2 linked regions of the Astyanax mexicanus genome follow. The protein of the gene in region 1 binds, or shares a complex with, the protein of each later gene. Links are inferred from orthologs where the notes say so. Each region holds a gene or a part of one and is shown on either strand. Other genes may lie near its edges.

The links. Proteins that work in one complex are often made in the same cells at the same time.
Region 2: mettl14 (region 1) and pre-mRNA-splicing regulator WTAP share a complex: the UniProt entries of both Homo sapiens proteins name them as parts of the WMM complex. The link is inferred for Astyanax mexicanus from reciprocal best matches to the Homo sapiens genes METTL14 and WTAP.

What each region holds. Positions count from the first base shown.
Region 1 is NC_064432.1:11,010,949-11,014,701, reverse strand, and holds the start of mettl14 (N6-adenosine-methyltransferase non-catalytic subunit), read left to right. Parts: upstream 1-913; 5' UTR 914-1,056; coding exon 1,057-1,122; intron 1,123-3,375; coding exon 3,376-3,464; intron 3,465-3,753. UniProt on the Homo sapiens protein: The METTL3-METTL14 heterodimer forms a N6-methyltransferase complex that methylates adenosine residues at the N(6) position of some mRNAs and regulates the circadian clock, differentiation of embryonic stem cells and cortical neurogenesis.
Region 2 is NC_064408.1:74,746,719-74,750,471, forward strand, and holds the start of pre-mRNA-splicing regulator WTAP, read left to right. Parts: upstream 1-1,320; 5' UTR 1,321-1,506; intron 1,507-1,585; exon of another isoform or gene 1,586-1,641; intron 1,642-1,717; exon of another isoform or gene 1,718-1,736; intron 1,737-3,069; 5' UTR 3,070-3,077; coding exon 3,078-3,107; intron 3,108-3,205; coding exon 3,206-3,261; intron 3,262-3,347; coding exon 3,348-3,406; intron 3,407-3,493; coding exon 3,494-3,621; intron 3,622-3,753. UniProt on the Homo sapiens protein: Associated component of the WMM complex, a complex that mediates N6-methyladenosine (m6A) methylation of RNAs, a modification that plays a role in the efficiency of mRNA splicing and RNA processing.

The sequences.
Region 1 (3,753 bases):
GGGAGCCACTACCGAAATGCGGGAGATTCCCGCAGCTTCAGGGAGACTTGATTTGTCTGCCATCTCTCAAGATCTTTGCTGCAGCCAGATCACCCACAGCTTTCCTAAGCTCACTCTTTAATCTTATTGGATTTAATGGAGTCCCAGATTCAGTTCCAAACTTAAGAAGAACTGTATACTGTGCTACATGCTCCTCCTTCCTACACTTGACATGCGTAGGAAGCTCCTGACTCTCTCTCATGATCAGATAATCTCCTACCTTTCTTAATTCCAGCAGTTTGCCACGCTCCTCCACCATCCCACGACCCGCTCTTTATCCCAAACATTTCCAACTCACTCCCTTCTTCCTTCCATCTCCACTCCTTCCAGGTGAGCTACCAGCTCTTTTCCTAAACCGTGACCGCTAGCTATGTACCTGGGCTCATCAACCAACCAACCTCGTGATGTAACCAGTGCTGCACGGGCAAAATGGTGGCGCACTAGCGCAAACGTAACAAACATATATATGTTACAATTTAGTGTGTAAACATTTTAGATAAAAAAATCCCCTCCCAAATAAATTCCATTATATTTAATCCCTTGGAAAACTTGTACGAACTGAAATGTTTCATGTCCACTTTAAAATAAAAAAATAATAATAATAATCAAGTTTTTACATGCAATTTTCAAATGTTGCATTTAACCTAAAAGAAAATTATGAAATAATAAAAAAATAAATGAATAAACGTTACACAGACTTTAGTTAATAATTGTTTTTAATGTGTGTTTTTAATGGTTTACCTCTATTCACCTCCATTCACTCAGGTCTCCCTCGCGGGCTCCCTCTAGCGGCACGCGGTGGTTTAGAGCTCAGGATTGGTCGGTCTTCCCGCTCTCTCGCTCTGTCTCGCGCTCTGTCTCTCGCGCGGTGACACTGTGTGACGCGTATCTCCTGCGCCGGCCGGGCTGTGTTTGAATGTGTCTGTGTGCGCGCGGGTTTCTCTCTGCATCGCTTTAAAAACCCGTGTATTTATTATAATTCTGAGTAAAGTGGTCAGACTCTGATTCAGATCAGAGATGAACAGCAGACTGCAGGAGATCCGGGAGCGGCAGAAGCTCAGGAGACAGCTGTTAGCCCAGCAGGTAAAAAAAAAAACAAAGAGAGAGAGAGTAAAACACTCTCAGAAACAGAGAAACCACACACAGAGAGAGAGAGAAAACACATTCAGAAACAGAGAAAAACACATTCAGAAACAGAGAAAACACATTCAGAAAGAGAGAAACAGAGAGAGAGGGAGAGATAGAAAGGGAAACACAGAAAAACACACTCAAGAAACTGAGTGAGAGAGACAGAAACACACACAGGAAAAACATGCTTAAACTCACAGAGAGGAAAACAGATACAGAGAGAGAGAGAAAACTAATTCAGATAAATTTACAGAGAGAGAGAAACACAGAAATCACGCTTAAATAGAGAGAAAAACAGTCAGAAACAGGCAGAGATAAACACACAGAAAAACACTAAAACACACTGAGAGAAAAACACACTTAGAAACACAGAGAGAGAAAAACAGATACAGAGAGAGATAGAGAGAGAGAGAAAAACACTTAGAGATAGAGAAACTTACAGTGAGAGAGAGAGAGAGAAATACAGTCAGAAACACAGAGAGAAAAACACAGTAAGAGATACAGAGAGAAAGAGAGAGAGAAACACTCAGAAACAGAGAGAGAGAGAAGCACAGTCAGAAACACACACAGAGAAATACTGTTAGGTACAGAGAGAGAGAAAATAAACACACTCAGAGGTACAGAAATATTTAGAGAGAAACTCACAAACAGAGAGAGAAAAAACACTCAGAGATAGAGAAACTTACAGTGAGATAGAGAAAAACACAGTCAGAGATACAGAAAGAGAGAGAGAAAACACACTCAGAAACAGAGAGAGAGAAACAGTCAGAAACACACAGAAATACATACAGATACAGAGAGAGAGAAAAACACACTCAGAGGTACAGAGAGATTCACAGAGAGAGACTCAGAAACACAGAGAGGAAAACAGTCATAAACAGAGAGAAAAAAAAAACACTCAGAGATAGCGAGAGATTTGCAGAGAGAGAACACTTAGAGAAATTTACAGTGAGAGAGAGAGAATAACAGTCAGAAACACAGAGAGAAAAACAGTCAGATACAGAGAGAGAGAGAAAAAAACACTCAGAGGTACAGAGAGATTCAGAGAGAGAGAGACACTCAAACAGAGAGGAAAACTAAGTCATAAACAGAGAGAAAAAAACACTCAGAGATAGAGAGAAAACAGAGAAAAACACAGTCAGAGATACAGGCTTAGATTAGTCACAGTACAGACACAGCACCCTTACAGATCCATATAATAACCTACAGTTTTTACTAATAAATTCTCTTTCAGAAAAGAGATATAAGCACTGTACTAATTGGGCCATTCCACAGAACGGGTGCTATTGATTGTTGTAACTTTTCCAAATTAAACTTTTTAATTTTTTTAATATCACATGTATTTAACTATTCAAAACATGTAATTGTCAAGTGCAGGCAGCTTTACCTTACTACTTTTTTACAAGGTTTCTAAGCCGAAGATGTTTACAAAACTCGTGTGACATTTAAAAAGCATGTTCAAATGCAACTTTGTGTTTCTTTCAAGAAAGTCTTTATTTTAAAGAAATGTTCGACTGTATGTTCAAATAAGTGATATTTATGACCAAAAATCATTAACAAGTTAATGGCACTGATTCCTGTTACTGGAACTCATTCCTGTTAATGCCACTCACTCCTGTTACTTTTTATGTTTTGAGTAACGGGAATTAAAGTGACAGGACTGAGTTTTTAGCATAGAATTATGCTGTGCTAATAGCATGAGGACACTAAGCACATTCTAGTGATTTTGATGGGGTAATTTGTTAAGCTAACAGGACTGAGTGAAACCCAGGGACACAACCTAAATGTGTATTTTAACTTAAATATTATGGATTTATAATGAAAAAAATATTTTTAAAGGAGTGATTTGCTTTTAAAATATGCTTTTAAATGTTTTTAACTTTTAAATGTTTTTAACTGATTCGTTTTTATTCGTTTTTTTATTTTATTTCCTCTCATATTAATAACTTACAGTATTCAGAGCTTGTAATTAATTGAATTTCTCCTAATATTAATCTAGCCGTTATCTATAGCTGTTATTTTAACACATATCTATGCAGTTTAATGTAATAGTAGTCTGATTGGGCACTTTTGAATTAACCAGTCAAACCCATTAATAATCACATAAATCATCAATCAAAAAAAAGTAGTAGTCTGATGTTTTTGTATTTTTACATCACTTATGCTTTACACTGAGAGCTGAGGGAAGATGTTTGTGTTGTTTTGCAGCTCGGAGCAGAAAGTGCCGACAGTATCGGCGCCGTTCTCAACAGCAAAGAGGAGCAAAAGGAGATCGAGGAGTCCAGAGAGACCTGCAGGTATTCCTACAGTTTACTGCAGTAGTAGACACAAAAGTACACAAACCCTGTATTTGAGTTGAAGTAGATGTAGAGAGGGTAAAACATTACTCCAGTAATAGATGTATAAGTCCTCGGTTTAACGCTCCACAACAGTAAAAGTACTTACTTTTAAAAGAATTCACCTTAAAGGTCTCATTCAATTGTTTTTACATTCATTTTAAAATGTCTAGTTGTGGTCTCTGGTGTTTCTGTATAACCCTGCTTTAGATCACTGAATTAGTGGTCTCTGAAGAAGGACAGGATTTCG
Region 2 (3,753 bases), on another chromosome or scaffold:
AAATGCTTTGCTGAGGAACCTGAGGATAAAGGTGATGGCCTGGACAAGTATGTCTTTAGACCTACACCCAATTGAGGAAGGTGGAGGAGCGCAAGGTCTCTAACAGCCACTAGCTCCATGATGCTGTCATGATGGAGTGGAAGAGGATTGGCAACCTGTAAAGCTCTAGTGAACTCCATGCCCAAGAGGGTTAAGGCAGTGCTGGAAAATAATGGTGGCCACACAAAATATTTACCCTTTGGGCACAATCTGGACATTTTCACAGTGGTGTACTTGGTTTTGTTGCCAGATATTTTGAGGAAATAGCAAAATATATATATATATAAGCTGTACACTGATTACTTTACATTGAATCAAAGTGTCATATCTTTAGTGTTCTTCCATGAAAAGATTAAATATTTACAAATATATGAGGAGTGCACTCACTTGTGTAAGATACTGGATAAGCCACACACTACACAGTTATCAATACAAAAAAAATAATAGTTATTTAATAATTTCCTTTAACAGAAGCTATGTCTTTATTTTTTGGGTTTATTGTATAAACAACAAAGAATCATAAATAAATATGAGGTTGTTGCAGAATACTCTAAAGTTTGGAGCTGATGACATGGCTTTAACAGTTGTTTATACTGTATAAACTATTCCCATTAGGGCATCAATTTCATAACCTGATTTATTTTACTTCAGGTTAGTATCATGGTGTATTAACAAGACCATCATATTTTTTCTAGCAATAAATGTGGGAAGGAAATAACATTAAAGAGATATCCTGCCAAAAGGGAGTGCAGGTACAAAATAGGTGAGCGACAGTTTCCAAAGCTGTGGAAACTGTGGCAAAAAGAACATTTTCATGAAACGTACATTTTAAAATTTTTGAGCAGGACATAACATGGATAAAATAAATGTCTTTACCTTTGTTAGAAAGCAGCTATTTACTAATTGCCAGAGAGAAAGGAGAATTCCTTTTTCAATTCGTAATTTGCAACAGGGAGGCAGCTACATGCTTCATTAGCTGGAGTTACAGCTCCTGATACGGTCAGTGTAACAGTCCTAAAACTGTAACAGTTATACCCCTTATAACAAGATATCGCTAATATGAGGATTATGACTTCAGTGAGCTTCTATAAGGTATATTATTTTAAGAATAAAAAAAAATACATTACATATCATATACTTTCCGTGAAATATATCTATTCCTGAATTCAGCGTGAATATTACACCTTCATCATTTATTAATCCAGTCTCTCCTGAGCGGGGTCTTGTTTTGAACAGTCGCTGAACTGGTTAACAGGCTGCAACACACATCATGTAAGCCGCCCCGCCCCTTCAGCCTCTGCGGCGGAACATCCATCGTCCTCGCGGTGATGGCGGCTACGCGGAGCTCGCGTTAAGCTCAGGCTCGGGTCGTTTTAAGATTGAAATACGCTATTAGAGGGACGGGTTGCTCGTTAGTAGCGCGCTAGAAGCAGATTGGGTCATCTTGGTCTGAGTAAAGCAGGGCTTGTAAGTATCTCGGGTGTCTTTTTCTGGCTCGTTTCTGGTAAACAAGTTCTGAGAGCTGCGCTGTTGGTCGGAGGGAGAGTCTCTTCCTTTTCCGCCATTTTGTGACAAGAAACTGATAACACACGGAGCCGGCAGGTACTAGTCTAAACGCCGCGCTGGTCTCGGGATTCTGCTCGGGTGTAGTTCAGTGGTTCGTGGGGAATTCCGTCTAAATAGTTCGGGGACTGGAGGTGTGTGTCTGACCCGCCGTTCTGCTCCGCTGGGCTCCGCTGATTTTAACGCGGTTAACGCAGCAGCGCCAGCCCTGCTAGCTCGGTATTAGCTGTTCACGCTGGCTAACGGGCTAACTAGCTTAACTACATTACCGAGAATAAACAGCCAACAGGCCTCGGTTAGGGGTTTAAGGACACGGATTTCTGGCGGACAGTAATGAGAGGTTTTTACTGAGACACTCTAGGTTAGTTACGAACTCGTATGGTCCACAAATGCTAACCAACGCAGTCCAACAAACGTGCGAGGGGCTGTAGTGTATAACATGTTCAGGCTAGGCTAGGCTAGATTACGTAGAGGAGCAGAACGAAACGCTAGCTAACTAGCCAGCTCTTAAAACAGTCTCCGTTTATACATGTCCCTGCTAATGACGTTACAGGCTTTTACCGCTCTGTGCGCAGAGCGCAACTATCTAAACTGTGGTCCATTTTGCTTGTACCCAAAGCACGGCGAGGCTGAGTCAGTGTAACGTTAACGTTTGAGTTCCATATTCTGACCGTTATAGAGGATAAATTCAACAATACACTACGATTGTTGTGTGAAACTTCATTAACTTACTTAGCTATTATTATTTTCTCAGTTTGTTGTAATGAAGAAGAAATGTTTGTCTTTATTTCTTCTATTTTTTAAAATATTTTTTCACTCCAACAACTCATTTCTGCAGCACAAAATAAGAATTTCAGGAAAATTATTTTCTAGATTTTCAGATTTGTCCTTTTTTGTGTATTGTAACAAAAGTTGAATTATATGGTAAGAATTCTAAAATCAAAACAATATAAAGTCATTTTTAAAATGGATTTTTCCTGAAATTCTGTTTGCAAAACACAGAATTGACTAACAGAAAATTGGTAAAATAAAAAAACACTTCTTTCTCATTATAGCTACTAAATGGGAAAATTTTAAAAATGAATACAGTTTTATATTTTCGAGTTTAGCCCCAAATTTAAATGATATTAGTTACACTGACTGTCTGGTGTTGATTTATTTTTGTTCAGAGTTTCTGTTTCTCTGTTTAAATGGTGCTGTAGGTATAACTTGGCTATTATATTGCTTGTGTGCTTTAGTCCATCTAGCCAGCCTAACCTTTGCACCAATTACAGTGGAAGTGAAATAGGTTATAAAATGAACCTCCTACAAAAACGTCTTCTAGTAAAGTGTGTGATCTCGCACTTTATTTCTAATGTGGCCATTTTATGGTATTGGAGCAACCAGAGCTGTATGTTGTGAATCTGTTGTTTTTCTTCTGAAGTAAAACAGTACGTCTTATATTTGTTTATTTTTGTCATTTTGCAGAGATCAAGATGACTAATGAAGAACCTCTTCCCAAGAAGGTGAGCGCATTGGCACAGTGATCTTAACTGGCTGTGAAATATGATGAGGAAATCTCTGCTATGTCAGTTTATTAATGCTTCTATTTCTGGTATTTCAGGTTCGCCTTAATGAATCAGACATGAAGACCCTGACCAGAGAGGAGCTGTGTACACGGTAAGGATAAGTTTTCTTTTTAATAAATATTTTAATTACGGTTCTTTTCTTTAAATAATGCAAAAACATTTTACTTTCCATCTTAGGTGGAAACAGCATGAAGCCTATGTCCAGGTGCTGGAGGCAAAATATGCTGATTTAAATTGTAAGTCTCCGCACATGCACTCTGATTTATTTTCTTGATTTATTGCATTGTTTGTGCGAGCATTTGAATGGTATGCTTTATCCACAGCCAATGATGTGACTGGTTTGAAAGAGTCTGAGGAGAAGCTAAAGCAGCAACAACAGGAGTCTGCACGCAGAGAGAACATTCTGGTGATGAGGCTGGCCACTAAGGAGCAGGAGATGCAGGAATGTACAGTAAGTATTTTTCTTCAGATTTAGATCACCTGACATCTGTCCTACTCTCCTTTAGTCCACATTTAGGATATATATGTTGCATGGAAGTAGTAGTTAATTTATACAGAAGCAAAGATATTTTTGCTATCTCGA